Mus musculus: one gene and its partners. The protein of the gene in region 1 purifies or fractionates together with the protein of each later gene. This does not show direct contact. Links are inferred from orthologs where the notes say so. Each region holds a gene or a part of one and is shown on either strand. Other genes may lie near its edges.

Region 1 (10,391 bases):
CTGCTGACAATGGCAAGACTCTGGATACTGTGGCCACGTGCCCTAAGTTAAAGCCCATAAAATTCAGGAAAACAGGAGTTTGAAGTGTAGCAGTTAGATTGAGCTGGCTGGTGGCCTAAGGATATGATACACCAGAGGAACTCCAGAGAACCCCAGACTGTTGTCTGCTGATTGGAGTCGGGGCTGGATACTGACACCTTCCTGGTCATCTTTTTCTAATTAGGAACATTCTATAGCTGTTATTGTACTGTGCACTAAGACTCCTCAAATTCCTATGTTGAAGTCCTAACCTCCAGTATGACTATGTTTGGAGATAGGATCTTTAAGAGACAAATTGCTCATAGGGCAAGATGTTAATTCGACGGACCAGTATCATTTAGATATACTAGAGCGTCCCTTTCTTGAGGATAGACCATATGAAGAGTGAGAGGTGGCTGCTGACCAGTCAGGAGGTGTTAGCAGAAACTAACTTTGACAGCAGTGAGCCCTTTTTGAGGTGCCAACTGCTCTTCCCATTGGTTTCTATCAGACCCTCCCTGGCACCCATGTTTCTATAGTGCATGGTTTACATTCAACAGAGCTCGTTATTGTTTCTACCATAGTCCTGTTCCTTGGAGACAGAGTCACAAGTGACAAGTACCATACCACCCTCCATGAAGCTCTGAACTGTAAGGATTTGGCTAGCCATACTCTATGTAGTCTCATGTGCAACTTCATCAGTAGTGCTTGGGAAGATGTTGTGGACCTTGGTCCCCTGGGGGAGGTTAGTGATACAACAGTAGCACATCCTAGACAAGGCAAAAAGCGCAGAGACAGTGTGACAGGGGAGCATCACATTGTCTTCCCTGAGAACATCCTTAGCTAGTCAATGGAAACTTGAGTTGGGGCTGGCCCCAGCAAGTTTTCTGGGACATAACTATGCAACATAGTGTGCCTTTTTCATCTCAGAGGGTGTGGATGAATAGTTCTGCTCGATGTTATAGCACACATGCGGTTTCACTCAGGTACAACAGTAGTCACTGGACACAGAAGATGGTGTTCCTTGTAAGGAACATATACATACTTGATTCTAGTCTTTCACATTCTTGTGGGTATCCTGCTGGGAAGCCCATGTCCCTGAGCCAGCCTTTCTGGTTCAGATCTCAGCTTTCCTTGGGTAAAGTCAATGAGACCTGAGTAATGCTCACTTTCAGGGTGAGAGCCCATGTGTGCCCTCCACCAGGGAAACAGGGGTCAGGTGGGTCTGGGGAGTGCCATGAGGAATGTCTTGATGATGTAGATAGAACTGGGGTCCAGAGAGTGGTAGAACAGGTCCAGACTGTGGTACTTGGGGGTGCTGGTTAGTTAGAATTCCCATTGCTGTGAAGATTTACCATTCTAATAAAGGAAAACATTTAATTGGAGGCTGGCTTAGAGTTTCAGAGGTTTAGTCTGTTATCATTGTGGGAAGCACAGCACCATTTAAACAGTCATGGTGCTGGAGAAGCTGAGAGTTGGACATTTTGATCTGGAGGCAGCCTGGAGGAGACTGCATTCCAGACCATGCAAAGCTTGATCACATACCTGAGACTTCAAAGCCCACCTCTCCAGTGTCACATCTCCTCCAACAAGGCCAGAGTTCCTTAAGAGTGGCACTCCCTATGGGTCAAGCATTCACACACGAGTCTACATGGGGCCATACTTATTCAAACCACTGTAGGTGGTTCTGGGAGTAAGCATTCTATTTTTCTGTCATATGAAGAATGTTAGCCTTACTCATTTCTCTTCCACTCAGTGTGATCTGAGTCGGAGCCATCCAGGAAGTGACCCCACCAGCACCACCGCCTCCCTGTGAGTGGTTACATGTGTTGCCAGGAGAATTTCTGAGTTGGCTGGCAGACATTTGCTTCTTACAAGCAAGGGGCAAGTGATTCCTGTGAACCAGGTTTCAACTACAAGGCTTTCATGATACCAGCCTGGAGTGCTGGCCCAGTTCCAATGGTACTGGCAGATCTGGCCCTCTGCCCCATTCTGACTACTGTAGCCAAATCTGAGCCATCTAGCAAGCTCACGACGCCTGTGTGTGAGAGCAGCAAAGTGTAGGCAGCTCAGGGTTTGGAGCTGAGATGACTTCCAGTCAGATCTGATGTTTCATACCGTGAAAGCAATCGGAGACGGGAGGTGGCCATGGGGTGAGGGAGCCACAACCCCCCCTTCCTTTCAACCCAGCAGAAGTACAGGAATTTGAAGCCATTTATGCCCGTGGTCTGGTTTTATTATTATTTCAATAGCTGATTTTGTTAGAATGTTCAGGATACACAGAGAAGTAGGAAAGGCAGAGCCTAAATGCCCCCTTCTTCAGATGACCCAAGGTTAATCCTGGTGTGTTTCTGCTAGTCTTTCCTCCCTGTGGAACTAAAGCTAACTTAAGGTCACCTAACAGTACAAATATTTACCCCTAGCTTTCTCCCGAGTTGTTCGATGCTCTTCAGCCCCTCTGTTTTCCCTGGACTACAGACGGGCTACAGCCAGAGGCTCTTCAAGAAAAAGTGAGTATTTAGGGAGTTTCCAGTTCTTCAGTGTCAGGGACATCTGTCTCCAGTGGCAGAGTTCACAGGTCAATTGATCCCTTTGCTTTGAACTTCTTGGCAGACCGCTCACTTGCCCGAAGCTGGAATTTGCTTCCATAAATGTAGGAAATGAAGTCATCAATTTCTATGGTGAACACACAATTCAGCTTGGGGATGACTGAAGGGAAAAAAAAAAGAGGGGGAAAAAAGGATGAGAAGCAACATGGGGAGTGCATTCATTTTTGTGTGGAGCATTATTCATACATACTTGTATTCAAGTGAGTTGGACAGGTGTGGTGGCACACACTTTAATACGAGCACCTAGGAGACAAAGCCAGGCAGCAGGCAGATTTCTGAGTTCAAGGGCAGCCTGGTCTACATAGCACGTTCCAAGCTAGCCAAGGCTAGATAGTGAGAATGTCTAAAAAAAGTCTATAGGAATGAGGAGATCAAGCCAGAAATACCAAGGGAGACATGGGCCATTTGACTCAGTCTAAATGTAACTCAATGCCTAATTACAGGTTCTGGGGTGAATGACTCAACTCCCACGACCGAAGGCTCCCAGGCCCACCACCAGGTAGGGTTTTCCATACAATTTTGCACAGGTTCTTAGATGTGTGCTCATGAGGAAACTTCTATACCACTTCCTTAGACTTACAGTGCAAGCAGAACATCATGGAAAAACAATGAAGCAGGGCTCTGGGGGTAAGCCAGGGGCAGAGCGCAGGATTAGTAGACAGAGGTCCTGGGTTTAATTTCCAGAATCAACAGATAAAGGAATGAGTACAAACCCTCCATCTGTTGTTTGAATCTCTGGATATGTGGGTAAGGTCAGGTACAGAGACCCCAAAAGATCCAGAGTACCTGCTGGAACTTGCTAAAACTCAAGAGAACTAGGGTGCAGTTCTCAGAACTCCAGGTATAGGTTGCTTTGGTTTCTCCTGCCTTTCTTTTAGTTACTCATTTGAGAGGTGGTGACTTTGGTAGGTAGAGATCCAAGAAACAACCAAGCAGTTCTTCTGTCCTGTTCATGGACAGGCTGCAGGCTGTGTTCATAGATGTCTCCTGGGAGAGCCACATAGGCAGCGACCTCACTCACATCATAGTAAGCACTTGCAACCTGTTTGACTCCACAGGAAAGCAAACCTGGAAGGGAGATATAGTGGCATCTGATACCCTGGGGACACAGCACTCACCTTTTAGGTGGTCTTCTCTGGTGATGATCTTAAAGACATGTTTGGTCTCCTGCAGAAGGATTCCTGTAACTCCCACATAGGAGGGGCACTTGGATTTCGTGACTGCAAAGGAGAAAGGCAACTGACTGTAAGGACTGGGTGGTGCTGGCAGTCATTGCCAAGCCTCAGAGACAGGAAGATGGGCTTTTCTAAGCTGAGGAAGAAAGTGCTCAGAAGATAGTGGCTCTTGGGCAGTGACCCAGCTAGCAAGAGCCCAGGCTTCCTAGCCCCTTGTCCTGTGCTTCATGATCTCTTGGCTATTCTTGGGTGTCCTTTAGTTTTGGGCAGGGTTCTGGAGCCGAGAGGTAATACACAGAACCAACAAGTCCAGTGTACTGCTGTTGGAGCAAACACCATGGGCAGGGCATCTATCATTTACTTTTGGGTCTCCTGAACTTTGTCTGGAATGTAGTCCTTCTATAGAGTTGCCTAGCAATGGCATGAGCCACCTCATAGGCAGGCCCCTTTCCGCTTCCGTGTAGTCAGCATTCACAGAAGAAACTATGTGCCCAGTGAGCTAGGAGGGTGCTGGGGCAGGACACTGAATGAGATGGTTTGTATTCTGCTCCTGTGGAGCTGAAGCTGTGGTAGAGGACAATGTATAGTAAAACACGGGCAATTCTAATTCTTGATACTGATAATGGCTACAAGGAAAATAAGAACAGAATGGGGGTGGAAGAAGAAACTTTAGTGCTAGTAGACTCTCAGAAGTGACATCAGGAAAGGGGACCGAGGTACATGCATATGCAGAACCCCTTGGTTGAATGAAGGACTCAAGCAAAGACAACTGGTGTGCAAGCTACAAAGTGGCCAAAGGACACCGAAGCTGCTAGAGGCCTAGAACGGGTAACGTAAACAGCAGTCTGAAGTCTGACTGCAGCCTTCATTCTGGGTATTTAACCTTGTAGTGTATGTGGGAATAAAACAGTATGTGACCTGGGCAGGGTGTGGGGAGGCCAGAGAAAGTAGTCGCAGCACCTTGAGGGAGTGGGTCAGATTTGGGAGCTAGGTGTGTTAATGTCCTTGAGGTAGAGGATTGGGGAAAGAGGTAATTTGTATGTACTTCCTAGTTTCTAGCCTGGACAAGCTGTGCTATTCTAGGAGATGAGGCAAGCAGATCAGAGACAGCTGACCTCAGGGGACCAACGGCTTGGTGTTGGATAGCTAATCTGAGGTAGCTCTTGGATGTCCATCCAGGCAGCTTTGGGTGTCATGGGGTGAAGGAGTCGTGGGAAAAGTCTGCACTGGCGGTGACCCCTTGGAAACCATGATGGGAGGGAATCTGGGCCCAAGAGAATCGGCTAGAGCCTCGATTCCAACAGTGTGAGCAGATGGCACCAAGAGAGCACTTAGTGTGTGTTTAACAAGGAACCAGGATGGGTTAGATCACAACTATCTCAGATCCTCACTGCTTGTGACTTGGAGATAGTTCAGGGATGCCAAGTGACAGATGACAGGCTGAATGCTGTGACACACACTTCACTTACACTGAGTAACAATCTCCAGATGACTATATGCATTCATAGAAATTACCTGAAATAATAGCACCATGAAGATCTGCCTTTAGGAGCTTGGCCTGAATCATCTGTGGCTGCCTAGGAGGTGAAGAGCCCACAGAGAAGAGTCGGTAACAAGCCAGTAACAGTAACTGCAAACACAAACACAACCCCACAGCCTGCTGGTTTCTCAGAGCATCTCTAATGCTCTCCAGGCTTGGCATCTGCTCCCATGGCTTCCACGGCTTCAGAACTAAAACTCACGTGTCCGGCTTGAGCCCATTGCACAGGTCCCGGATGTACTGTTTCCAGAGTTCATGGAGAGGGAGGAACAGGCTGTATCTGTAAAGAAGCCAGAAGCATGAGCTCGGCGTTTACAGCGCGCAGCACACAGAGCTGGGCTCCAGGCTGAGGATGAGCGTAAGGGAGCACCGGAGACTGTGTGGGAGGCCAAGGCTCTCCAAAGTGCCAAGTAACTCCCCAACCTGCTACTCGAACTCAATTTCTTCCCTGGTAGAACCTCTTCAAGGCTAAATATCTGCTCTCAAAAAGGTGGTCCTTCACCTAGATGCCCACCCTCCTGGCCAGACATACGATGGTGGAGCCCCTGGCTCAGACCCCCAGCTGAAGGTGGCGATGCACCATCAGCCATAATGACCCAGGTGCTGTTCATCCACATTCCTTTTCCCAAGACAAATGAGCAAAGGAACATTAGTCTTCTTAGCCCACACTTCCAGGAGGTTAAACTTAATAGTCCTTGGGAGGAGCAATCCCTTCTGTAAGGTGACAGGACTGTGTAGAAGGCGAGAGTAGAGCCCGGAAGCTTTCCTCTGGGGTGATTATCATATGTCTTGGTGCACAGGGTTAGGCAGTCAAGAACAATGGCTCAAATCAGAAACAAGCACTTCCTTCAAGGAACCCAGAGAGGCAGATCCTTGGCAAAGTGACACTGTCATGCCATCTGGGACATAGAAAGATATGTGGCTAAAGTGCATTATACAAAGCCAGTAAACAGTAACTGCAAACACAAACTCAGAACTATATCAAGAAAGACATCCTCCCACAAGACAGTGATGTATTCCTTTCAGAAATGTCTGAAATGAGTAGGTGGGACCGTTCCTTGGCAGTAACCTCTGAGTGGGTGATACTGTCTAGTTATGTTCAAAGCTACAGGAAAGTACACATTAAGGCATATCAGTTCCTCTTTTCTAGAAAGCTGAAAGCAAACAGCCTGTTGCCATGGAAAACAGACTCACTTATTATTAGTGAGGCTAGGACAGAAGCTAAGTGATGAGAACCCTCAGTCTCACCAATGCCTGCCCCTCAGAGGCCAAGCACAGGCACAAGGAAATTGGAAGGGGGAGGCTGCCCTCTTGTGGCAAGAAGTACCTGAGCATGAGTATGTAGGGATGTCCAGTGAGGCCCCCCCCCCCCCCAGTCCTTGAACCCTGACAAAGATGACAAGGCAAGGTTGGATGGTAAGACCATTAGGAAAGATGGGCATACCTCTGTTGCTCTGGTTTAATGTCAAAGAGCCGCATGTCTCTCCTCTGTTTGGCAGAGAGGCCTTTGGATTTCTTCTTTGGCCTTGGCCTTGGCTTTAGGCGAGTGAAATATTCCAAGATCACGGCCTTGCGCTGCAGATGGCTCTCACAGTCTTCTTGGCTCATGTGAGGTATGCTCTGCTTCAGGAAGGCCCGCACAAAGGCCTCAGCCCGCTGGCTTCCCAGCTCCTGCTCGGAGACATAGTGGTGTTGTTCACGGTTCTTGTGCCCACAGACCCCAGGGCCCTCATACCCTGTTCCAGAAAGCCACTATCTTTGCTGATCCATCTCTCTATCCACTGAGGCTCACAAATCTCTTGCCAAGTGTTTGCTACGCACAACTGCCAAGATGTAAAAGAAACACTCATACACTAATTGTGACAGTGTCCCACACTGCAGCCAGGTCAAACAATGACTTCCTGTCCTGCTTCTTGAGGATCCTCTACTGAGGATTCAAAACTTTTTGTAATTTAGTACTTCTCTAATCCTTGTGGGGAAGGAAGTTTGAGACATGGATGATAGAGGTTAATCAGTCATGACTACAAGGCCAGCTTAAAGGGGAAGGGAGCTGGGGTTCTTAGGAAAACGAGCCAGTCTAGCACTAGGGGAAACTGCCTGTGGTTTCCAGGAAAGTCACGTCCTTTGAGGGGGCATTCTGACAGTGAGCTTCACAGTCCTCTTTAATCGCTTTTCCTCTGGAGTTAGGGCAGCAACAGTCTATTCCTCACTGGGCAACAGGTACCTCACTTGGCCTTCATCACCTGAAACCCTGTTACCTGAGGACCAACCTCTTCCCCGGGCCATTGGCTGGGCTCTTTTTTGCACTAACTGCACAGTAAGGCCAAGTCTGGGCTAACTGCCAGCTTTAGGTTAACGTATGAATGCTGACTTCTACCCTCTCTATGGTAAAGCAAGGGAGTGAAAATACAGAATACACAACCTTCAAGGTACTTGAAGGTAGGGATGGCTAAACAATCCATCATTGATATGACGACAGTTTGGTTCTTTTAAATATACATGTGGTCTCTCTTTCACTGGGAATTAAAAATTAAAGGTTAACTGGCCTTTTAAAATCTTGACTTCAAGGCTATGTTCTCTTTAGGAGCCACAGGTGAAGCTGTTGCCCAAATGACAAAGCACCATGAAACATCCAGACAGAACTTGTAACATCCACTTAGGAAATGGGCTGAGCACTGACCAGGATACAGAAGCAAGAGCAAGACTGGCTTCAGGTGGGCACAGGCTGCCATTTCCTGCAGAGTGGGAGATGACGGGAAATCAAGGAGTCCAAGTCCCTCAGAGCTGACTCTGGTGCCCTAAGAACAGAGTCTGGCTCATGAAGACATCAGCACAAAAGATGTCTATGGGGCCTGATATTCAGAGTGTAAAGTCAAGGAGGAATCCATGGGAAAGGACAGCTAAGCCAGTCTTAGAAGATACTGAGCCAGCTTTGCCATCACCTCGACTGCTGGCCGCCCACCCCTGAAGACTGTACCTGCACATCGTGGTCCTTGGCTTCTTTATGAGAAAAGGCATGGTAGATGGCAGCTGGGGGAGGAAAGACAAACATATGGAGAGATGATTATTCCTGTTAGGAATGAGAATACTAGCCGGGGCTTTTCTAACTATGCTAAGAAGTACACTTATTCAGAGAAGGAAGACTGGGTTAGTAGAAAAAAGAAAAACGTTCTTGGTTGATCCCTTTTGCTTTACTCTGCAGTGCTGGGGGACTAACGCCAGGGGAGTGTAATGTATGCTAGGCAAGTGCTTCACTGTGGATACAGACCCCAGCCCTCTTATGTGTTACTCCTTCATTTTAAGATAAGGTCTTGCTTTGTATCCTAGGCTAGCTTCCAACCCACATCCTGTTTTAGGCTCCCAGGTGCTAGTTGCTGGGATTATACACATGAACCACCATAGATACTTCTTACTCTTCCCTCTTGCCAACTTTGTCCTAGAAATTCCCAAGATGTAGTTTTTTTAAAAAAGTACTCCTCAAGCCGGGCGTGGTGGCGCACACCTTTAATCCCAGCACTTGGGAGGCAGAGGCAGGAGGATTTCTGAGTTCGAGGCCAGCCTGGTCTACAAAGTGAGTTCCAGGACAGCCAGAGCTATACAGAGAAAACCCTGTCTCGAAAAAAACAAAAAACAAAACAAAACAAACAAACAAAAAAAACAAAACAAAATAAGAACTCCTCAAGGCTTAAAGAATCGCTGGGATCTTATTAAAACGGAGGGTTTTGGTTCCTACTCCAGACTCAGCATGTCCAAAAAAATTCCTCGCTGGGTCACATTTAGAGTTGATCTGATTTTAAACACCCAGGAGGTATAATTATACTTGGGCAGTGGCCCAGTAAGTCTAGTAAGTCTAGACACTAAAAGAGAGGAGATATTAACGGGTAGGCTGTATATGGTTGAAACACTACATTTTGCTGACTACTAAGAGAGGCTTAAAACAGATTTTTCACACTTTAAAATCTATAATGTATCCTGACCAGATAAAATACAATAGTCTTTTTCCAAACTCTACATACTATCTTCATGATGATGAAACCTCTTTAAACCTCCACAATCCTGTTTCTTATTTGTTTGGAGGCAATCATCATGGTGGCACTGGGGCAGAGACTACAGGAGTAAATGGGAAAAGGAAGGGCCCATGACCAGAAAGTGCAGTTCACACTACACCCTATACACTGCACTTCTGAGCTGGGTGTGGCGGCACACATGGTTGATCCATCCCATTACTTGAGAGGTAGAGGCCGAGCTGGTTCACACGGTGAGCTCCAGGCTAGTCAGGAGTACATAGCTGACTTTATCCCAACAGCAACAATAAGAAACAAACAAACAAACAAACAATCCATCTCTGTCTCCCTGAGTATATGCTTGACCCAAGCAAACAAACCAAGGTACCACAAGTTTTATATACAGAATCTAGCTCTCTCTTGAACAATGGATCAAGATTGAACTTTATTGTGATAAACATGCAGGGGCTGGAATCCCAGGAAGAACTTTGTTTTATTTACCCCAGATGCCTCGCATCAAAGTTGAAAGTCTTTCTGCAACATGCAGTAGGTGTGGGACACTCACAGCTTGTCAAGCGGTTGGTTGAGTGAGTGTGCATATATATTATCTTAATGTCATTAATCTTTCTAAGCAATTTTTAACAGTAGCTCTTCTTTGTTATGCACATAATAAAGTGGTAGCTGAGACACGCTAAGAAACTTGTTCTCAGACAAAAAGGGCATGAATCACCAAATCAGAGGCAATATCTTTACCTCTCTCCTCTAGTACTGCCCCAGTGCTTGGCTGCCCTTCTGGGCACAGCTCTTTTCGGCTCAAATTCCAAAGCCTTAGGTGTACGATACTGCCCCTCAGCAGCTTTTTACAGGGGCAAGGGTGAAAACCAGGTGGCAGAGGGGTGCAGGTCCTTGACAGAAGTTATACGGGAAGGTAGTAGCTAGGTCCGGTCAAGAACTTGGACCCATCTCTTCTAGTTCCCCCGAGAGGCCCCTGAGGAGAGCACACAAACTCGATCCTGACATTTATTCCTAGCTAAGAGACTGAGAC
Region 2 (10,265 bases), on another chromosome or scaffold:
TCCAGCTGCAGCACGAGGTACAACCTTGGCTATCTCTGGAACACAGCTTCTTTGTGCTCCCAGAAAACAACTCCCAGATTTCAACTCAGTGATGCTGGTCTCTTCTTAATCATTGCTAATGTCTTAGCTTCAGCTAACCAGCATCAATTGTCCCAGTAGTTCCTTCCATTCTTAATTCTAGAGCCAGAGCCACATGGCTGAAGCTTCCCCAAGTTCTGCTGCTTACAGGAACTAGAACATGATCCCCTTGTACTATTACATTATCACTAGCTTATGTTTTCTAAATCCTTCACTGCCTAAGCTTGGCTATCCTGGTTCTTGCTCTGTAGATTGACCTTGAATGTAGAGATCAGCATGGGATTAAAGGTGTGTACCACCATGCCTGGATCTAAATTCAGCTGGGTAGGATCTTGCCCCAAGGTCCCACTCACTTAATCTGTTATTTCCTAGAACACAGGATTTTGCTCCATTTCACTTCCTTGTATGCCTTTAATACTCGAACCATATATTTTATATTTTGCCTTTCTAAGCTTGCTATACTTGTTCAAACTTCTCTTTGTGAGACTTAACCAGGGAACAAAGTCTTTGCTGGGCTTTTTTGAAACTTCCTTTGTCAATGCAATTAATGCAAGTTTCTTCGCCTTAGCCTCAGGCAGACTTTTCAGACAAGGGTAAAAAGTAGCCACATTCTTCACCAAAATACCACAAAAATAGTCTTTATGCCACATACTGAAATTCTTCTCCTTTGAAATCTCTTGGGCCAGGTCAACACAGTTCAAATTACTCCCAGCAACAAAGTCTTCCATATTCCTACTAGGATGACCCATCAAGCCCCATTTAAAGCATTCCACTGAGTTCCAAATCCAAAGTCCAAAAATCCACATTCTTTCAAATAAAAGCATGGTCAGGCCTATCACAGCAATACCCCATTTCTGGTACCAACTTCTGTCTTAGTTAGGGTTTTACTGCTGTGAACAGACACCATGACCAAGGCAAGTCTTATAAAAAACAACATTTAATTGGGGGTGGCTTACAGGTTCAGAGGTTCAGTCCATTATCATCAAGGTGGGAGCATGGCAGCATCCAGGCTGTCATGGCACAGGCAGAGTTGAGAATTCTACGTCTTCATCCAAAGGCTTCTAGTGGAAGACTGACTTCCAGGCAACTAGGGTGAGGATCTTATACCCACACCCATAGTGACACACCCATTCCAACCAGGTCACACCTATTCCAACAAGGCCACACCTTCAGATGGTGCCGCTCCCTGGTCCAAGGATATACAAACCATCACAGGTGGGGATACAGTAAAGAAAGCCATGTGTGGCTTGTTGTCTCTCAAGAGAGAAGGTTAGCATTGAAGCTACAGGAGGCATATCCTTTTTCCCCACCCTAGGACATATTTCTAGGCTGAAAGGAGACTTGCCTGGCCCATCAAAGGAGCCTCCATAGCCTTGCCTTCCCGAGATACCAAAGCAGGCTCTGCTTGCATAGTCCTAGAATCAGGGCAGTCATCTAGACAAGTCTCTAGCGTTCATGACTTCTAAATCTTTTTTTTTTTTTCAAGACAGGGTTTCTCTGTATAGCCCTGGCTGTCCTGGAACTCACTCTGTAGACCAGGTTGGCCTCAAACTCAGAAATCCGCCTGCCTCTGCCTCCTGAGTGCTGGGATTAAAGGTGTGCGCCACCACCGCTCAGCATGACTTCTAAATCTTATCTTCCCTTTAGTTTCAGAAGCCCAGTAGTCCAGGGTACCTTAGTTGTCTGGATAGTTTACTGTTTCCTAAGACACTTTGTCCAGGCTGGCCAGTGGTGACACTTTGTACACTCCTCCATGTGTAGCCAAGGATGATCTTTTTTTTTTTTTTTTAGATTTATTTTAGTTATATGTAAGTACACTGTAGCTATCTTCAGACACACCAGAAGAGGGCATCAGAGCCCATTGCAGATGGTTGTGAGCCACCATGTGGTTGCTGGGATTTGAACTCAGGACCTTACAAAGAGCAGTCAGTGCTCTTAACCGCCATCCCTCCAGCCTGATCTTTAATTTTTTGTATTCCTGTTTCCACCTCTAGATTCAGGTAGTACAGGGGTGCACCACCATGACAAATTTACATGGTGCTGGGAGTCAAAAAACAGACTTTATACATGCTGGGCAAATGCTCTCCCAGCCGAGTTACATCTTCAGTAACTTCAGTCTTCCATGCATCTTACTCCACATCAGGCCAACAAACACATCTAGATCCCCTGGCTCTCCCTAGGGATTCCTCAAGAACAAGAAATAGAGCTGGACAAATTACACACCTGTAATCGCAGCATTTGGGAGGCTAGGGCAGGAGGATCAGTTCTTGTCCAGCCTGCACTACATGGCAAGACCTCTCCTAAAAATAAATAATTAAGTCAGGAAGGTGGGGTGGGAGGTGAAAGGCAATGATCGACAGTCTGGATGACAAGAGTCAGTGATCCAAAACACAAGCAGAGATACTGGGAAGAGAGAAGAGGCTTCCCCAAGGCGCCCTCCATCAGCTGCAGAAACCCACGTCCTCGCCAGTAGGATTTATTTCAAGGTTCTACAGGCAAAGTGACTTACAAATTTATTCTCTCCCATCTCCTTTCCAGAGGTGCTGGGTTCCATGGGGTAGCATCTGCTCTGAAGATTCTGAGCTGTACGCTGCACAGCTCCCCAGCACACAGCACACCCCCGCCCCCTCCAGGCTTGGACTTGGGCTGAGAGGCATCTGAGGCTGTTATCTCTCCACACACAGCTGTGCAGGGCTGGAGGCAGCGGCTTATCAGGGAGCCCGCAGTGATTCACAGCCCAAGCTTCTCTGCTGAATAGTAATTTCCAGCAGTGGATTTGTGCTGTCTCTCTCCTCCCCCTCTCCCAAGGGTGTGCTGTCCTTTTGCAGAGAGAGGGCAGTGAAGGGGAGCTCCTACTCTTGGGGCTTTGTGCCTGCCTCTGGGTAAGAATGTCTACTGCGAGGAGCGAGCAAGGTTAGAACCTTAGCATGGTCTGCCGGCCTTGGCAGGCTGCCGCCTCCAGCTCATCAATGCTCCCCCCTCCTTCCCCTCCCAGAGAAGTAGCAAAACTGCTTCCTTTCCCTTGTGGTGATACAACAGTGACACAGACCCCGGCCCCCTCCACCACAAGTCCCTCTTTCAACATTTTGACACTGCCCCAGTCTCTGTGTCTGACCTTGAAGACTCCAAAGGCTAATAGGGTTGAAGGCAAGCATGCCAAAGTGGTCTCTGCACAGGCGAGTGGGTAAGGAAAAAGAAAAAAAGAACAAAACTGAAGACAGAGCCATTTTCACGTTTGTTTTATTGGAAGCAAGACTCCAGCAGGACTCGGGGAGGAAGCATGGCAGATTTTGTCCTAAGTCCCCTCTCAGCCATCATGCAAGGCGGGTGGGGGAGGGATGCTAAAAGGGAATTGCTAGGGTGTGTGTGTGTGTGGGGGTGCAGAATAGGGTCCGGACATTTTCAACTTGGCCATCCTCAAGTAATCAGCTCCGTAGCTCCCGCTCTCAGTTAACAGCAAAGATGATTTTTAAAGCCTCAACTGTCAGCATCCATGCATACTGGGTGCTTTTAACGTCTGGGTCCCCAAGAAAGCTCAAGAGTCCCACTACCCACCATGCTTCCCTAAAAAAGACGGCCTAGCAAAGGTGTGGGTGGTGTTCTGTGGCTTCTGGTAACATGTCCCACAAAGTTTCCTTGGACTTCAAGGATCCTCTCTTCTCATTCCTGAGCTCTCTCCTGTCGCCTTGGGATCCGCGCTGTCATTCTGAGGACCGGTGTCCAGGAACATGGGCCCCTTAAAACCCAGGTATGAAAGGTGCGTGTGTTGAAAGGTATGCAGGAGTGTTGAAGATATATGATTCAGTCGGTCTGGGTGGCTCAGAGGCGAGAATTCTCAGGCGGTCCTGTCCTCATTCTCAGCCTCTGGCTCAGGCTGAGACCGCTTAGCGGTGCCTTCTTCAGCAGCAGATTCCCCCAGGCTCCTCTTGGACGTCGACACCGTAGGAGGGGACGAAGGACCAGGACTGAGGTTCGGAGGCTGGTAGCCAAGTTGTCGTGGATCCAGTGCGTCCTTTGAAAGTAGGATGGCGAGGCTCGGTACATTCTTAAGTACACTGAGACTGGCGGCCGGATCGCTGGGCGTCTGACCCGGTGTGGGCCCAGGCGGGAGGCTCTGCCACACCTCGCGCACGCTCCGGTAGCGCAGCCGCGTGACCTGGTGTAAGCCCGCCAGGCGGCGCTTGAGAATCTCGGCGCACGTGACGGTCTTGGTGGTGGCCCGGCCGCAGCCACTGAAGACGATGGCGCGCGTGGCTGGCTGCGCCATGCTGGCGGTGGCGAAGGCCAGTAGGTTGCGGATCTTGCTGCCCTCCTTGACCCGCATGTGTACAGCACCGGGTGCCAGATCTGCAAAAGGGCCAGAGTTCGGGCTGCCACCCTCATCACCGTCCCCCGCCGGCGCCTCCTCCGAGCGCACCTTACGGAAGTTCTCCATGCGCCGTCGTCGCTGGGATCGCAGGTTTTGCCATGGGGCCGCCTCAAGCCCGGGGCTGCATGGCCGCGGGTCGTGCCGGGCGAGAGCTGGCAGGGATTGGGGTGCCGGCGCCGAGTGAAGGTTGGAGGGTGGGCTGGGAACGTGCAGTCTTCAGCCCAGACTTCTACAGGGTAGTGATGTTCTACTCTGCGCCCTCGGCACCTTGTGCTCCGCGCCTTTAGCAGAAGCTCCGCCTGGGAGCCAGATAGGACCCGCCCCTTCGCCCAGGACCCGCCCCAACTCTGCGTGACTTGTCCCAGTCCCTCCAGCCTTTGGGATCCAGCGCTGGAGCTCAGCGGCTGGGGTCACAGAGCCACGGGTGATTTGGGAGGTGAAGTTCTCCGAAGTCACCATCTGTTCTCCCTGAACCAGACCTTATGCAGGAACAACCTAAATAAATACTATGCTTAAGGTTCAAATGCCGACTCAAGCCTGGTCCCTGAGCCCTGCGGGGTTCCAGCGCAAGGGCATCCCTAGACCCCTCCTAGGTAAGAGATCTCCAAACCACCTTTTGGGGCTTCGCTACTCCACCCCTCCAGGGACCTCCCTCCCGTTCTCTTACTATATTTTTGCGTCAAGGGCAGCCAGTGCATGGTCAGCAGAGAGTGGGAGGCGTTGGCTGCGGCTGCACGCAGCGCCTTCCCTGGGCTGGGACCGCTACGTCGTGGCCTGGTCCTTGCGTAGCTGCTTAGAGAGACACTAAGCTTTGCTCCTCCTGATCATACCTCCAGGCTCCCGGCACCTATGCACCTCTGAAATGCAGGAAGTGATGCGTTGGGCCAGCCTAAAGTGAATGGGGAACAGGAGACCATTTCTTCCAAGGCGTTAAATTCTTATATTCATGCCTGAAAGTCCTTTACTGGAGCTGCATACATGTTTATGAGCGTGGCTCAGCCCGAGCTAACGCCGGATTCCTGACTTCCAATTCCAGGTGGAATTCCTTGCCAGTCAGCCTTGGCCTCTAGAAATCCAGAGGGTTGTTTTTGTTAAAAGGAGACTGAGAGAAGACAGGTTTTAAGAGGTGGGAGGCAGGGTGGAGTGCCTTGGCGGAATGTGTGTGTGTGGGGGCGGGTACTTGCAAACTCTGGGAACTCCACTGAATCTGAGCAGAGGCTCGGGCTCTGCTGCGAGGTGAGGTGGGCAGTAGAAAGATGAGGTCTGATCAAAGCAAGACTGTTTAATAAGGAGTGACCCTGGCCTGGGGCCACGCCCTCAATATTCAATCCCGTTTCCATGGAAAGGCAGGGAGGGAATCAGACAGACGTGGGAAGCACCGGGAAGGAAGACGCACTGAGGACTGTAAGGAACGGTGTTCTCAAAGTATCAGCAAGATGGTGTTTGGATGAGCACAGCATCAGTCTAGGGGGAGAGCTGCCCGGCCCTCCTCTTCCTCTTTGCTATCTGTGACAATTCTCAGCCCCTCAGCTCAGAACAACGAGCTTATATCTCATCTCTTCTTGGAGTGTGGCTGCAGCAGCTGGACTTTTTATTTTTTATTTTTACCTCAAGTGTGAGTGACTGGCTCCAATCTCCTGCTCACACTCCAGGAGTGTGCCCCGAACTGGGACTCTGCCCTGGATCTAATCTTAATTCTTGTAGATTTCACAGGGAGAAGCAGGCTCTGGAGTCCCAACCTTGGGGAGACCCCACGACTGAGTGCACTCAGGCAAGTGGTGGACTTAAAGTCGGCAGTTTTGGATTGATCTGAGAAAAAGTTCCAGAAAGACTAGAAGCTATGTAGGAATGTGCTGGTTGGAAAAGAAGAGAGCTCTGCGTTCCCTGGAGTATGCAAGCCTGGGTTAAACAACTTGGAAATCATGTAGGCCGTACACTACAATTTGGAAGATCTGGGGGCAGCAGGTTTGTTCTGAAAAGAGTGAATGGTTGTGCCTCTACCCAAGTTGGCCCTCAAGGACACCGCCACCCTCTCCCAGTACCACTACCCTCTGCCAGAGACTCTCCCATTCACTTTATTTTCCTGTGGAGGGAGAACGCAGAAAAGGCCCGGTTCCCCGCCCGCGCATCGCTTCCTTTCCAGCTCCCTCAGCAGCACTTAAAATGTAAATGCACATCGTGATTAGCCGCGGGGTCGCTAATTACAGCTGAAGCCATTCATTACGCTGTCAGCTCTCTCCATCGCCTGCCGGCTGTGCAAGTGGGGAGGTGATGGGGGAAAAGGATGTGGGGACAGCTCGATGCTGGCAGCCTGAAAGCCCAGAACTGGCAGAGAGGCGGTGAGCCGAAGAAACCGGTTGGACCGTGAAGAAGCCGTGGTGTCAGAGAGGGGAGAAAGGCGGGAGGCTGGAAGGAAGGAGATTAAGTGAGGAGGATGAAGAGGAAGGGTATATGAGAAGCGATACCAGGATGGGAAGAAGGCCAGAGGAGGAATCGTGCGAGATAGGTAGGAACCTTCCAAAAGGGGACAGAGGACAGCGGGAGGAGGAAGAAGGTCCAACGTGGGGAAAGTGGGTAAACAAAGGTACTATCTTTGCTGCACACAACATCACGGTTAGAAAGGCAACCAGGACGTATGCTGAAAAAGCTGGTTGCCCGCCAAACCCTGCGGATACGTTTGCATATGTAAATGTATTTTTAAATACTTACAAGAAAACGGCACACTGGCATCTGTTACCTCTGTAGCCACATTCAGATTTTGTTGCTCTCTTTAAAGGCAAGGATAACAGAATACGGATAGGAAATTAAGTAAGCGTAAAGTCTTGGAGGAGCCTGTGTAATTGAGGTACTGACCCGGCAGTCCAGGCTTCATTAGCCTCTTTCTGCTTCTTGTGACCTTGGACAATTGACTTAACCCTTGTGCCCTGGTTTGTCACCTGTAAAAGGAGGGTAATTATAGTAACCTGCTCACTGTGCCCCTGAGTTCCTGGGACACAGTAGCTGTTATTTCTTTTCTTATGTTGTGATTAAAATAAAAATTTAAGATTGCAAAAGGAGGGGTGAGAGGTGAGAGGATCAGAAGTTCAAGGTCTTCCTTAGCAGCATAGCAACATACCTCTCCTAGGCTACGTGAGTCATCAGATTTAAAGAAAAAAAAAAAAGAGTAAAGATTGATGAGAGGAAACAAAGCTGGGGTGTGTTTGACGTCGAGAGAGACAGAGGTGGGGAGAGCCTTAGATGCAGCAGTTTACAGAGAACCGGCCTGTGCTCTGCAAAGGCTCTTACCAGCAGCCCCCTGGAGCAGGAAGGAAAGGAGACACTTAACCTATTGAAGCAGAGGCAGGTAGATCTCTGTGAGTTCAAGCCAGCTTGACTGGCCAGCCAGGGCTAGCCAGGGCTAACCAGTGAAACCCTATCTTCAGAAAAAAAAAAGAAGAAAATGAATATTTATTTTAAGAAAAGGTCTTATTTTTGAAGTCCTCACTGGCCTGAAACTCAAAATCCTCCTGTTAGCCTCCAGATCGATGGCTGCAATCACCAGAATATGCTGTCCATACCTCCTGAAGCTCTTCTTCCATGTGTAAATGCGTGTGCAGGATTTGACTCTCTCTTCCTGCTATGTGGATCGAACTCTTACAGATCAACAGGCTTGCTGGCAAGCCCTTTACCCATGGAGCCATTGCTTGGCTCCCGCCCCCCCATCCCCCAAGACTTAAATGACTTGAGCCACCCAGGAAAGGTATGGGTTGAGAACCACCTGTGGTAGTTCATGCCTGTAATTCTGGAGAGAAGGCCAGAGGACCGGCAGTGGGGAGGCCAGGCTTGGAAATCTGGGGTACATCAGACCCAGTCTCAAAACAAGCAAGAGTGGGTGATGGAAAGATGGCTCGGTAAAGAGCACTTGATGCTCTTCCGGAAGATTTGAGTTTGGTTCCCAGCATCCGTGTCAAGAGGCTCATACTACCTGTGACACTAGCTTCAGAGGATCTAAAGCCTCTTTGAACACTTACATGCATGCATGTGTGCACGCGCACGCGCACACACACACACACACACACATGTAATTAAAAATAAAATAATTTTTTTGAGACAGGATCTTTTTATGTAATTCTGGCTGTCCTGGAACTCTCTATGTAGATCAGGCTGGTCTTAATTCATAGAGGCCTCTGCCTCTGCTTCCTGAAGGCTAGGATTAAAGGCACATATCCTACACCCAGTTAATTTTTTCTTTTTTAAAGAAAGATATGGGTTGTCTTTGTGGAGAGAGAAGGTTTTCATGGTGAAGGAAATGGACTGGCTATCTGCTATTGCATAAAGCGGTTGCCCCCAGTTTAACAGCTTAAAACCATCAGCATTTCAGATTCTGAAAGTCATAAGTCCAAGTCCAGATTGAAAGGATTAAACCTCTTTACTCGGGTTCTCCCCAGAGGCTGCAGTCAGGGTGTGGACCAGGTGGAGCACCAGCTCCTAAGCTTATCTCCTGTGTGTTGGTTAGAGGTCCCTATCCCCTTTGCTGGCCCCCACATGATGAGAAGAGTGGACACACACACACAGACAGGGGGGTTGGGGGGAGGAGAGGCAGTATGTATTGCTTAGTTACAGGGCATCGTAGCCCACATTTAAGGGAACTTAGCTCCCTTCTTGAAGGGAAAGTACAAAGAATTTGTGGATATTCCAAAATACCAACAGATCTGAATGTCTGAGGAGCAGATTTAAGAAGGAAAGGAAGCAGGAATTAGTCCGTGGAAGCCAAGGGCACCAGCCCTGAATCAGGAGGGCTGGATTTGCTTCCTAACATACAGAGATTATTTTCATAGACACAAAGGTGGTGAATTTTGCTGGGCTCTCCCAGGGGCTCAGTGGGATTACAGATACTAGAATTCTATCGATTTACCAGTGTCATTTAACAGAGAACCTGGGCTCTATTTCCAGCACCTACATGGCAATTCACTATCGTCTCTGTCTATAGCTCTAGCCCTAAGAAATCCAATGCCATCTTCTGGCTTCTGAAGATGCACACAGGGTGCACAGACACACATACTGGGGAAACATTCATACACAAAATAGAAACAAATAAAATACATTTAAAAATTAAAAGCAGGGGCTGGAGAGATGGCTCAGTGGTTAAAAGCATGGGCTGGGTTCAATTCCCACATAGCAGCTCCCAGCTATCTCTAATCTCAGTTCCAGGGGACCCGACACCCTCACACAGACATGCATGCAGTCAAAACACCAATGTACATTAAAAAAATTCAAGAGCAACATTAAATATTAAAAAAATTAGAAACAAAACCCCAGAAGGAAACAATTACAGTATCTACCTCTTAGAAGTGTCCTGTTATTCCCCTAGCACCTAGGCCAGAATACTCTTCTCAGATAGACTACACTGCTGGCCCAAGGCTTAGCTATGGAACGGTGATGCTTGTAAGCAAGCCTGAAATACATTTGCTGTTGTTCCCTTTTGTTTTAAGGCATGGGTGTGGCATGAGAAGGTAAGGCTTAGCGGGGTGCCTAGCTCCCTTGGGCGCCGAGTGCCTTGGGCCCAGCTGCTGTTTACAGGCTGGAATGCAGGCCTAGTGCTTTTATTTTGATTGCGTGATTGAACATTTTCTGCTTCATTTCAGTGGAGAGTGGCAGAATCAGCTTTTCTGAATGCTCTCTGTATAGCGTTCTCTTTCACATCCTGTAGAGTCGGGCTCCTGATAAACAATGTCATTTCATTGCTGCACAGACCCTTAGGCTCTGCTGTACTGGAAAGACACCTGCAAAAAAAAAAAAATCTCCCTCATGGAGGTCACCTCTCTTCATTACAGTTGCC
Region 3 (10,893 bases), on another chromosome or scaffold:
TCCAAACATTTTATCAGAATACAGACATATCTTCATTATGTCCTAACTATGGTTGTCTCATGCTACAAAGGGAAATCAAGTAGTTGTGACAGACTGGACTGTATGTATTGCCTGCAAAGTTAAAATGTTTGCTCTCTGGCCTCTTGTGGACAGGTCCTAAATAGGCCACAAATTGTGCCATTCCTGATATTACCACGAGAGGGGGCACCTGGGCCCCACAAGTGGTGCAGAAGTGGGACCAGTGCTGGACACAGGACAGATTTCTCATTATACATGTCCAACTGTCACATTTCTAACAGAACACCTTCAGGAAATGAAACTACCTATTCATTACAGCACTGTGTGGAAAGTCAAGCAGTAGGTGAGTGAGTCAGTCAATCTGGATCTACAGCTCTTTGGCAATTATTGCACTCATTTTTATGTCTTATACAAATTGAATTTTCAGGTTAGAATTTTGTCATGGGCTTATTTATTATTTACCTCATGAGGAAACTGTTAAAACCATTCCTTTAGAGATTTGTTTATTGCACATTGCAGTTGTTATAGAACTTTAAATACACTAATAGTTAACGGTGATGTCTTCATAAGTTAAGCACATGAGCAGTTGGTATTTTAGAGAATTAGTAGCCAGAGCAACTGCTTGGATATAAAATAACTGTTAAAACCAAATGTAAAAGCAACAATCTCAAGTTACACTGCCCTATGCTCTCTGTATCCATATTGTGCTGTAAGGTTTCTTCCCTTCAGAAACAGGAAATTTGTCAGCAAGTGGAACAAAGTGGTACAGTCCATAAGTTCATCCAAAACTTGGGATGAAAAAGTTTTGCTATCCCACTCACCTCCTAAATTCCACAATGACTTCCAGACAGAGTGGATTAGTAAAGTCCTGACAGCTCCACTCCCAGCCAGAAAGACCCATCACTGTCTTGTCTGTCCTCGTGCCACATGTCAGCTAAGTACTGCTGTAATAAGTTCTGGCTTAGGTTTTGTTTTTAGAGTTGTTAGCTTTGATTTTTGTTTGTTTTTGGTGCTGGGGATCAAGCCAGGGATAGTATGTGCTGGTAAGCACATATTCTGCCATAGAGCTCTGCCCCTAATGTACTCTTGATAGATGTTATATATTACAAGGAAACTGATGATGCGCAGGGAGAGAATTCTTATGAAACAACCTTATCAGGCTTTTGTTCTGTATCAATTAAGCCTTTCTCCCAAGCCTGCCTTGATGCTTACCTACAAAGAAAGCCAAATTACCACAAAGTAAAAATGACATGCCGCTCTGAAGGCAGTGTACTGCTTAACATTTAGTGTCTCTCTCTCTCTCCGTTGCAACTGAGGACTTTCTTCAGTTGCTTCACCCACCTTGCTAGACCATGTCTGTGGCCCATTTTCCAAGTTCGGTAGAGAAATGTTAAGTGCTGTAGGAAACTGATGTTCTTGCAAGCAAGCATTGTACCAGCCTTTAAAGCAGTGAATTTATATGCGCATGGACATTAGTCTTAATAAACTTTGGTTTTGTTAATCATTGTTTTGAGTGTTTTCTGTACTTCATCTGCCCCACCCAAAGAGAAAAGCACCTCCATGCAGGATCCTAAGAATATATGTAAGTTTTGATTTTATTTCTTTCAGTGCTCATTTAGACATTAGACATAGTGACAAGTCATACAAAACTACTTGGAAATGGACTTTTTACTTTTGGGTGGTTTTCTTATCTTACTAGGGTTGGGAATGAGCTTTTTTATTTTAAGGGGTTGTAATGTTGCAGCTGAAGCTTGTCCACCTTCAGCAAGCTTCCTCTTACTAAGTTTTGTAAGGTCATCAAATGACGTGTCCAAAATCTCGTTGTCCTGGCTTTCCGAGGGTTCAGTCTCTAAACTGTCTGTGGGACCTTGGGTTCTGTCTGGAAGCCATGGCACGTTTAAGCTGGGCACCCTGGGAATGATGGCTTCTACTTCATCAGCAAAGTCCCTGGTGTTCTTTCTGAAACCCAAGGCTAGCACACATTTTAAGCCAATGACAGGAGCAATTCTCTCGCTGAGCTGAGGTACCTGACAGGCAGGAACAGTTCTGCTTAGACTCAGCTGAATCAGGTGTGAGGTGATGATGGCAGGCTTGACTGACTTACACACTAGAACCAGGAGCAGTTCATTCCTCTCCAGAGCTCTGGTGACTTCATTAACACCAATGACCAGCTGTTTCCTGACGTGTACAGGTGTCCACCCTGACACCAGCACATCCCCATCAGGCTCTTTTGGATCCTCGCTAATCTCAATATCTGGCCGGCAACTTTGCTTTTTCATAAGAGCTGTTTTTTTCCTTTTCTTCTTATCTTCAATTTTCTGAAGTCCAATCAATTTAAACTTGGCTTCGAGAGTCTGTAATATAAAGTGTATGTCTTCTCTCTCCAAGGTGCTCCAGGAAATAACATAAGGGTTGTTTAGTGATGTTTTTACAACCAGAGGTCTAGTCTTCCGAATAGATCCCCTCTTTGGTGCCTGAGGGGCTGCAGCCATCTTGAAAACCCTTTGGAAAGAAACAAAATGATGAAACTCCTGTCAGCAATGCATGTCTTGAGAACATTTTGGTTATAGTCTCCAGTCTCTGTTGTTTTGTTTTTTATTCCAGGCTGATATGCTACAGCAAGTCTAATTATATGGGCCCAACTAGATAACCAGTCAGAGAATTTCTGTGGCACAAGGAAGACTTAATTCTCCCTATTTTTTCATGATGCTCAACAGGCAATGTGAGAGTGACTGGTGTTAATCTTACAGATTTGTGAGCATCTTCCAAACTCTAATTGGAATTCCACTCATTTATTTTAAAAATGTTAAAGACATTTATTAGGTTTGGGGTCATAGCACATGTGGTCAGAGGACAGCTCTATTAAAATGGTTTTCTCCATGTGAGTCTCAAGGGAATGAACTCAAGTCACAGGCTTGGTAGTAAATGCCTCTTCCCTCTGAAACATCTTGCCAACCCCTCATTCATTCATTTATAAGCATACTTACTGAGTTACTGCAGTGGGCAGATGGTGTTCCAGACACAGATGCTGGTGGGCTCTGAAGCCCCTGTGTCTGCCCACACAGAGCTTAACCTTCTGTAGTCTCTGAAGTTCATAATGAACCAGGTCAGATTTTAAGAAGCAAAACCGTAGTAATCTGTCCATGGCTAAAACTTTAAGTCTCCCTCCTCTCATGATTCCCAAGTCCCTAAAACATTTGAAACATGCAGGCCCATATTTTCCCTCTCACATGATTATAAGATGACTGCTTTGGCGGGCAATTTCATGAAAAATAAAAAAAATATGAAATTCAGAGATTAATCCATTAGGGAGAAGTAAATGGGCTGCGCTCCTTCCAAAAGCAAATCCGAAACAAAACACTGTTATTTGTTCTTCCTATAATAATTAACCTTACAGACAAGTTAGGACGTTAACTGCTCTCTTGTCGGGCATTCATTCATTTAAACCCTGTTTATCCTTCCCAAAGGCAACTGTATACCTCTGCTCTCAGTTGTCTCCTTCTTAGAGTTCATCTGAGAACTATGAAGACCCAGTTGACAAACTTCAAATAAGTCCCCCCTGCTTAAGGTTCCTCTAATTCAGGGCACTTTCTCCACGCATCTTGTTCCTAACAAACTTACAGAGTTCCCTGGCATGGATTAGGAAGCAGACTCACTGTACAACTCACAGCTAGTTTTTCTAAAGACTTCTTTTAATCATGGATCTATCTTAGAAATAACCTGTGGTTTTTAAGAACCATCAGATGGCTGACTCACCCTAGAGCTTACTGAGCTGGAATTTCTGGGAGTCAACTGTGCCACAGGTGCTGGTAAAAAGCTGCCCAACATTTGGAGATGTTGATGTGAGGCAGGTGGCATCTCCAGACTGCACGGCCTTTGGAGATGGTGTTGCACTCACTCCCAGTAAGAGCTGCAATCTTGATTCTGTCAGTGCTGCCCACTGCTACAGACACTGGCTATAGCTGCTTCCATAATAACTGCTTCCATCAATCCCCATGAGCTGCATGCTCCTCACAAGCTAAGAGATTCAAGAACAGGTCGTCCAAATCTATCGAGGTGACCAGCAGCTGGTAGCTAGCTTTGAGTAAAATGACCAGGAAGCAAGGGACAAATGGTCCCACCACAACGCTTGCCAAACTGCAAGTCAGCTACTGTCCCTGCCTAGCATGGGGGACACTCACAGATGCTCTGCAACCAAGGGATTGCAAGATTGGGATGTATGTCTCTGATTCACAAAAACCTGGAAGGGGAGATGAAAAAAAGAACCAAGCCTACATAAGATGACCGCCATGCAATACTAATTTTTAAAATGCTGAATATTAACAGGTTCACAGAGCTTGATCAAGTACCTTGCCAACTATGTCTGCAAGCTGCTACTGCCTACAGGACCAATTACAAACTCAAAATGTTTACTCCCATTTCTCAAGCATTTCTCCTTTCACTCATCACCCATATTACAGATTCTGGCTATTTAATGAGGCCTCTGGTTTCTCATGTCCTTATTCAACGTACACTGTGCCTGGTAGAGCACTTACATACATTTTTTTCTATCAAATTATTATGAATTATCCTTGCTGTTGCAGGCCATTAGGCATTGGGCAAAGCAAAAAGCTTCTGCGAGTAATAAAAACGGCTCACTCTAAAGCCAGAGTAGTGAGGTTATCTTGAGGAACAGGCCTTAGTTGAAGTCTCTGGAGAAAACGACCATTAACCAACCGCAATCTAAAATATTCCTCCTTTGAAGGAATTCTTTAGATAGCCCAAGAAGGAAGCGGGCAGTGAGGGATTACAGAAGAACATTAAAGTTCAGTATCGCCCGAACAGAGATGCTGGAGTTGAAGATACTGGGTAAGGACAAGATGGTGACTCTAGAGCCTTTCAAGAAGGGCGGCGCGATTAGAATCGCGTCACAGAGACCTTGATTTGGGAAGAGACCCTAGAAAGGCTGTCAGCAGCAGAGAAGCTCCCGCGGTCTCGGGAGGACGAAGGGGTACCCGCATCACACAACACGACGGAAGGAAACCCCCGAAGGCAGGGATCGGCTGAGACCAGCCGGAAAGAACCTCAGGGAGAGCGGGCTCTGGATGACCCCCACCCCGCGGTGACCCGGGTGCCCACGGGCCGGGACTCGAGCCACAGGCACGCACGCGCCCACCTGAGCAGAAGCGCCCCGCGGAGACCACGTGACGGATCGCTTCACTACAGCAACTCGGTCACTACCAGGAACCACTGCGCCCGCTCCACGTGCGCCTGCACTGAGCGTGCGCAGAACACGAGCTCCGCCTACCTGCCTCTGCATTACGTCACTCCCAGTCAGGGACGTCAGGCGTGGTGTGTGGACTAAACCTGGCACAGCACTGCGCAGGCGTGTATTCTGTCTCGCGAGAGTCTGTGGTTGCTGTAGTAACCAGCCTCTCCCTTCTGACTGGTCGTCCAAAATGACGATGCGGAACAGCTCGGTTCTGTGAGAGGTTCGTCTCTCCTTTTGGCTCTCCATTTTTAGCCCAGTTGCTTCTGCCTTGCTGTCTCTTTTTGTTCTGGGGATACAAAACTCCAGCCCTTATAGCCACCCATTCCCCTGCACGCGTCCCTGGGAGAGGCTGGTTACTACAGCAACCACAGACTCTCGCGAGACAGAATACACGCCTGCGCAGTGCTGTGCCAGGTTTAGTCCACACACCACGCCTGACGCCCCTGACTGGGAGTGACGTAATGCAGAGGCAGGTAGGCGGAGCTCGTGTTCTGCCACGAAAATCAAATAAATAGGGGTTATAGGGTTGCATGTACTTAGAGATTATGTGTAGAATCTTGGGCACACTGAAAGGAAAATAGGGGCTGCATTTAGTTCCACAGCAGTACTCCAGAGTACTCCGGCAATAGCTGTTGTGCCTTCTGACAAACGGAGACAAAAAATAAGAAAGGTTATGAAACAAAATCACTGGAAAGTTACAACTGGTAAGCAGTGGAATAATGTACTAAAGATTAAAAATTACGCACGCCTTTAATCCCAGTACTCGGGAGGCAGGCGGATTTCTGAGTTCGAGGCCAGCCTGGTCTACAAAGTGAGTTCCAGGACATCCAGGACTATACAGAGAAACCCTGTCTCAAAAAAACAAAAAACAAAACAAAACAAACAAAAAAAAAAGGCAGGAGAGATGGCTCAGCGGGTAAGAGCACTGACTGCTCTTTCAGAGGTCCTGAGTTCAAGTCCCAGCTCACAACCATCTGTAATGGGATCCAATGCCCTCTTCTGGTGTGTCTGAAGACAGCAACAATGTACTCACATACATTAAATAAATAAATAAATAAATAAATAAATAAATAAATAAAAATTACTTGACAGGAATTACTTTCTGTTCTTATGAATTTGGGAGGATTCAGGTCCTTCTCTTTATCTTCCTCTTTTTTCTCGGTGTTTTCATTGCTCATTTTAGACTAACATATAGGATCTAGCTTCTACGTTTCCATTATTCACCACCTATTGAACATTTAAACAGAACAAACACTGTTGCTTGTGGTCAAAGATTGTTGAAGTTTTTACAGGAAAAGCGTGCTGTGGTTTCTATCACAAGTAGATGAACTAGATTAAGTTCGGTCGAGTTTTGACTGTGCCATATAAGACGTCCTTTACTATTACCCGCAGTCATGTAGCGCTAAAGACAAATCGCGATGGTAGAATTGAAATACTAAAGGTTCACATAAAATCCTGGCTCGTGGAAGACTGAGACAGGAGGCTGCAGACTGGGCCTTCGGGGCCAGAACTTGCACACACCATAACAGAAAAATAAATAAATAAATAAATAAATAAATAAATAAAAATAAAAAAAGGCAGAAAGAGGGGCAAGATAAAGAAGTAAAAAGGTAATGGCTATGAGTGTTGTCCCACCAAAGTTCCAGCTCTTACATTACAAGCCTCTGCCGCCAGGCTGCTATGTTGACACCCTAGCCTTCCCACTAACTAGTGTCCCTACACCTCAGGCAAGTTAATTAGCCAACTATGAAATGATAAAAATAGTGCCTATTCTGAGGATTAGAAGAATATTCTGTGTAAGATGCTTACCACAGTGCCTGCCACATGGTACATGTCTGACAAATGGAACCACTATGACCCAGTGACAGCTGTGGCAGAATTAAGTTAATACAAATTATATATAGCCGCTACTATTTTGGGCCTTGTTTTCTATTTGAGAATTTAGCAATCTTTCCACAAGGATTTTACCCAAAAGAATATATCTCAAAGGTAATTTCTTTCCATTTGTGTAGCACAACTTTAGTTTATGTTCATATTTTTTTCTGCAAACATATGCTTCCTGTAGTTTCCTAAGTAGTATATGTGTATATGTATGTATATATATATATATATATATATATATATATACACACACACACCAAACCAAATGGTCAATTTACTTTTCAATTATAGCTCTTATTTTACATCAATTCAGTTTTTAATTTTTATTTTATTATTTTTATTTTATTATTTTTATTTTATTATTTATTTATTTATTTTATTTTTATTTACATCAATTTATGTTTATGATTATGTTTAATCAGTTTATGTTCAGGTTTTTTTTTTTAACAAATATATGCTTCCCATAGTTCCCTAAATTACTATGCATTTGGTAGTCTATATATACACTAAATGGTCAATTTACTTTTCAATGATAGCTTTTATTTTACATTGTAAATAAGTTATGTTTGTGAATAAACAGTTTATAAATGTACCATTTATGATCATAGTTAATTTTATAAATATCTCAAAATATTTTAATAACTTAGAAGGTTTATGAAAGTATTCTTTTTGTCTTAATTCTTGAACTGCTGGATTTAAAGGATACAACAATATAACATTAGCTTAAGAGTCTGAGTCAGAAATCGTAGCATTAGAGCTGACAATACAGTCTGTCAACAAAATGTTCAAGAATTGAACACTAGATTCTTCTTGCTTGCATGGAATTCTGAGCTTTGCCCAGCATTGTATGCTATTGTGGTTTTGTGGAGTCTACAAACATACTGTTAATAACGATTATTTTTAGTTTTTTAATTAGTGTATAGTAATTGTCCAAAATATCCACTTCATTATGGCCTTTCCTGCATGTCTACAATCAGTCCAACATTTAAAAGTCACTTAACTGGGAATGGACTTTAGTAACGAGATACCAAGTCAAAGCACAGGCTTCGAGTCTGTGCCATTGGAGTGTCTATAGCCACATCTGTGTCCAGGGCAGCAATATGAATGGGAGGTGTCTTGAGCACTCGGGCCACCCCAGGCAACAGTGGGTAGCAGTGCCACCCTTCCATAGATCAGATCAGTAAGGAGAAAAGGCGCCTGGTAAGGTTCAGAACATTTGTGTATAGTCATGTAAGCACAAAACCAACACCATGTCTCGAATTCCCGAGAGACGCTATCGGCCATCCCTGAGGTCAGGTGACAGGTGTTATGTGTATTCTCTCTGGGTTAAGGAACAACTCTGAAGAACTTCAGCACATACAGTGCTATAGTTAACACCGCTACACCCAGAGGTAGAATGGAGAGGCAAGGAAAAGGGAAGGAAACAGCCACAGTCTCAACTGAGGAGAGGCAGCGGAGGCATGCGTGCACCTGCAAGTTCGCCTTAGTAAAAGAAGAGAGAGGAGATTAAATGAGCTCCGAGACACTGGGCTGAGTTACCTCCCAGACACTCCCTCCCGCTCCTGTGGCCAATTAGTCCTCCATGCCCAGAGAGCAACCAATAGGAGAGACCGGAGGAGGAGCACTGCTCTTTAAGCAGCGGAGCCCGCTCCCCGGGGACTCTCACTCTGAGCTGGGAGAGTCACAGCATTCCGTGTCTCATCATTATGTCCTTGCAGGTAAGCCAGATCTGGGAAGGCCATGCCAAAGCAATTATCCGAAGCGCTCTGATGGGGCGAGAGGAGGTGTGGTAGCCCTGGGACAGGACAGGGGCAGGTAACCCCCAGGAGCCTTCTGCTGCTGCGACCCTGCAGTGACTCCCACACCTGCCTAAGCAGTGTGGGGCAGTATATTTCACAATATATTGTACTTCACCATCTGTTGACAAGGACCCAGGATCTCTATAGCAACCTGTTTGGCCCTCTGGGAAAATTACCCAGATCTGAAGAATTGACAAGCTCCTGGGGGCGGGGGCTTCTTCACCTCTCTCTCTTAACAACTCCAGGAAGCAAGTGACATCCATTGGGGTCTCCACATCCCCTTGCTCTTGGGGACCTCGGGAGATTTTCATAGATGTGTTTTGTTGAATAACAGGGCTAGATTATAAAGCTCTGACTTTACTGTTTTATTGATAAGAGTGAAAAGAGAATAAATAGGAATTAAAAACCAGGAAGCCCTTTTCTCAGATAAACACATATAGGTTGCTTTTATATATAAATGCCCTCTTTCTATGTGTGTATAATGAAAGGTGTGCGCGCGCACGAGTTCTATCTGCTGGCAAGCCTGGAGATCAGAACCTTCAGAATGCACATGGTAGAGAGAGAGAAGTGTCCCTTGCAATTGTTCCCTGACCTCCAAATGCATGCCATGGTACATGTGCACCCGCATATATGCCGTAATAAACATAGAGCAAATAAAAGAGGAGAGAGGCAGTTAAATGAGCTACCTCCATGGGCAGCATTTAAAGCAGCATTGGAGAAGGGAATCTTTAGGATTTAAAAGTTAAAGAATATCACGAAGGGACAATGAGCTAAGGCATATGAATGCCACCCTGACAATAGGGCAGCATTGAAGGCTAGCCTTAGTTCAATAATTAAAATTGATACAGGGTGTGGGTTTCTATTACTATCAGTGTTGAATGTATTAAATCTATTATTGCTGTAATGAAAATGTTCTTTCATTTCGATAAAATAAGATTCTAGTTTTAAAAAATATATACTTGCTAGATATCAGCATCAGTATGATCAAAGAAAACTGGAATTGCAGTCACTGAAAGTTTAAGTCACTTTGTTTATGCTTAAAGAATAAATTGTTACAAATGAAAAGTTCTTAAAACATATGTGTATTATTTCAATTTGAAATTCTTACCAATGTAGTAATATAACAAAACATGCATTATATTCTAGATGTGGGAGTGTTAGTTCAAGTCAGGAGTGACAGTACACACCTGTCATCCCAGCACTCAGGACTCGGAGACAGGAGAATCAGGAGTCCTAGGCCATCCTTAGCTAGGTGGCAGACTCAAAGCAGTGTGCTACATGAGACCCTGTTTCGGAAAACCACAAAGTACTTCAAGCAGAAGAGAAAGATAAAGGCAGGTTAGAAACCCATTAAGAGAAGGGATGAGGCATGTGTGGATCAGTCTGCAGGTTACCTAGCATTCGGGAGTCCCTGGGTTCAATAGAAACGTAGGGTGATCATTTAAGTGTGATGTTCCAGGATAGACAAGGCAACATATGCAAATCCTAACACACCCACGCTCTCTCAGACACACACTCATTGCTCACACACACACACCCTCACACAAACTCATGCTCACACACATACACACACAGACTCATGCACACTGACACACCCTCACACACACTCATGCTCACACACATACATACACAGACTCACACACACTGACACACACATCTTCACACAGACTCATGGGTACTCACACATGCTCACACAGACTCATGAGTACTCACACATGCTCACACAGACTCATGAGTACTCACACAAGCTCACACAGACTCATGCACACTGACATACACACTCACACACCTCATGCTCATACATATACACACACAGACTCACATTGACTCATGCACACTGATGCACACACACACACTCACACATATACTGGCAGTTCATCAGCACACTGAGAGAACTGGTAAGTACTTGTTACAAACACCGTAACCTTGGGAACCCGGTAGATA

The links.
Region 2: the proteins of Pop4 (region 1) and Rpp25 purify together in Homo sapiens (affinity purification with mass spectrometry; 3 studies listed by BioGRID and IntAct, counting the BioPlex papers as one, with this or other methods). This does not show direct contact. The link is inferred for Mus musculus from reciprocal best matches to the Homo sapiens genes POP4 and RPP25.
Region 3: the proteins of Pop4 (region 1) and Rpp38 purify together in Homo sapiens (affinity purification with mass spectrometry; 4 studies listed by BioGRID and IntAct, counting the BioPlex papers as one, with this or other methods). This does not show direct contact. The link is inferred for Mus musculus from reciprocal best matches to the Homo sapiens genes POP4 and RPP38.

The regions. Positions count from the first base shown.
Region 1 is NC_000073.6:38,260,583-38,270,973, forward strand, and holds the end of Pop4 (ribonuclease P protein subunit p29), read right to left. Parts: intron 8,373-10,391; coding exon 8,320-8,372; intron 8,078-8,319; exon of another isoform or gene 7,889-8,077; intron 7,014-7,888; coding exon 6,787-7,013; intron 5,623-6,786; coding exon 5,545-5,622; intron 5,380-5,544; coding exon 5,318-5,379; intron 3,848-5,317; coding exon 3,746-3,847; intron 2,728-3,745; coding exon 2,591-2,727; 3' UTR 2,238-2,590; downstream 1-2,237. UniProt on the Homo sapiens protein: Component of ribonuclease P, a ribonucleoprotein complex that generates mature tRNA molecules by cleaving their 5'-ends.
Region 2 is NC_000075.6:57,498,485-57,508,749, reverse strand, and holds Rpp25 (ribonuclease P protein subunit p25), read right to left. Parts: upstream 4,649-10,265; 5' UTR 4,514-4,648; coding exon 3,914-4,513; 3' UTR 3,303-3,913; downstream 1-3,302. UniProt on the Homo sapiens protein: Component of ribonuclease P, a ribonucleoprotein complex that generates mature tRNA molecules by cleaving their 5'-ends. Also a component of the MRP ribonuclease complex, which cleaves pre-rRNA sequences.
Region 3 is NC_000068.7:3,327,354-3,338,246, forward strand, and holds Rpp38 (ribonuclease P protein subunit p38), read right to left. Parts: upstream 5,276-10,893; 5' UTR 5,174-5,275; intron 5,146-5,173; exon of another isoform or gene 3,877-5,145; coding exon of another isoform or gene 3,775-3,876; intron 3,104-3,774; coding exon of another isoform or gene 3,006-3,103; intron 2,521-3,005; coding exon of another isoform or gene 2,511-2,520; coding exon 1,668-2,510; 3' UTR 1,596-1,667; downstream 1-1,595. Other genes in the region: Acbd7 (acyl-CoA-binding domain-containing protein 7), read left to right, coding at 8,857-8,868. UniProt on the Homo sapiens protein: Component of ribonuclease P, a ribonucleoprotein complex that generates mature tRNA molecules by cleaving their 5'-ends. Also a component of the MRP ribonuclease complex, which cleaves pre-rRNA sequences.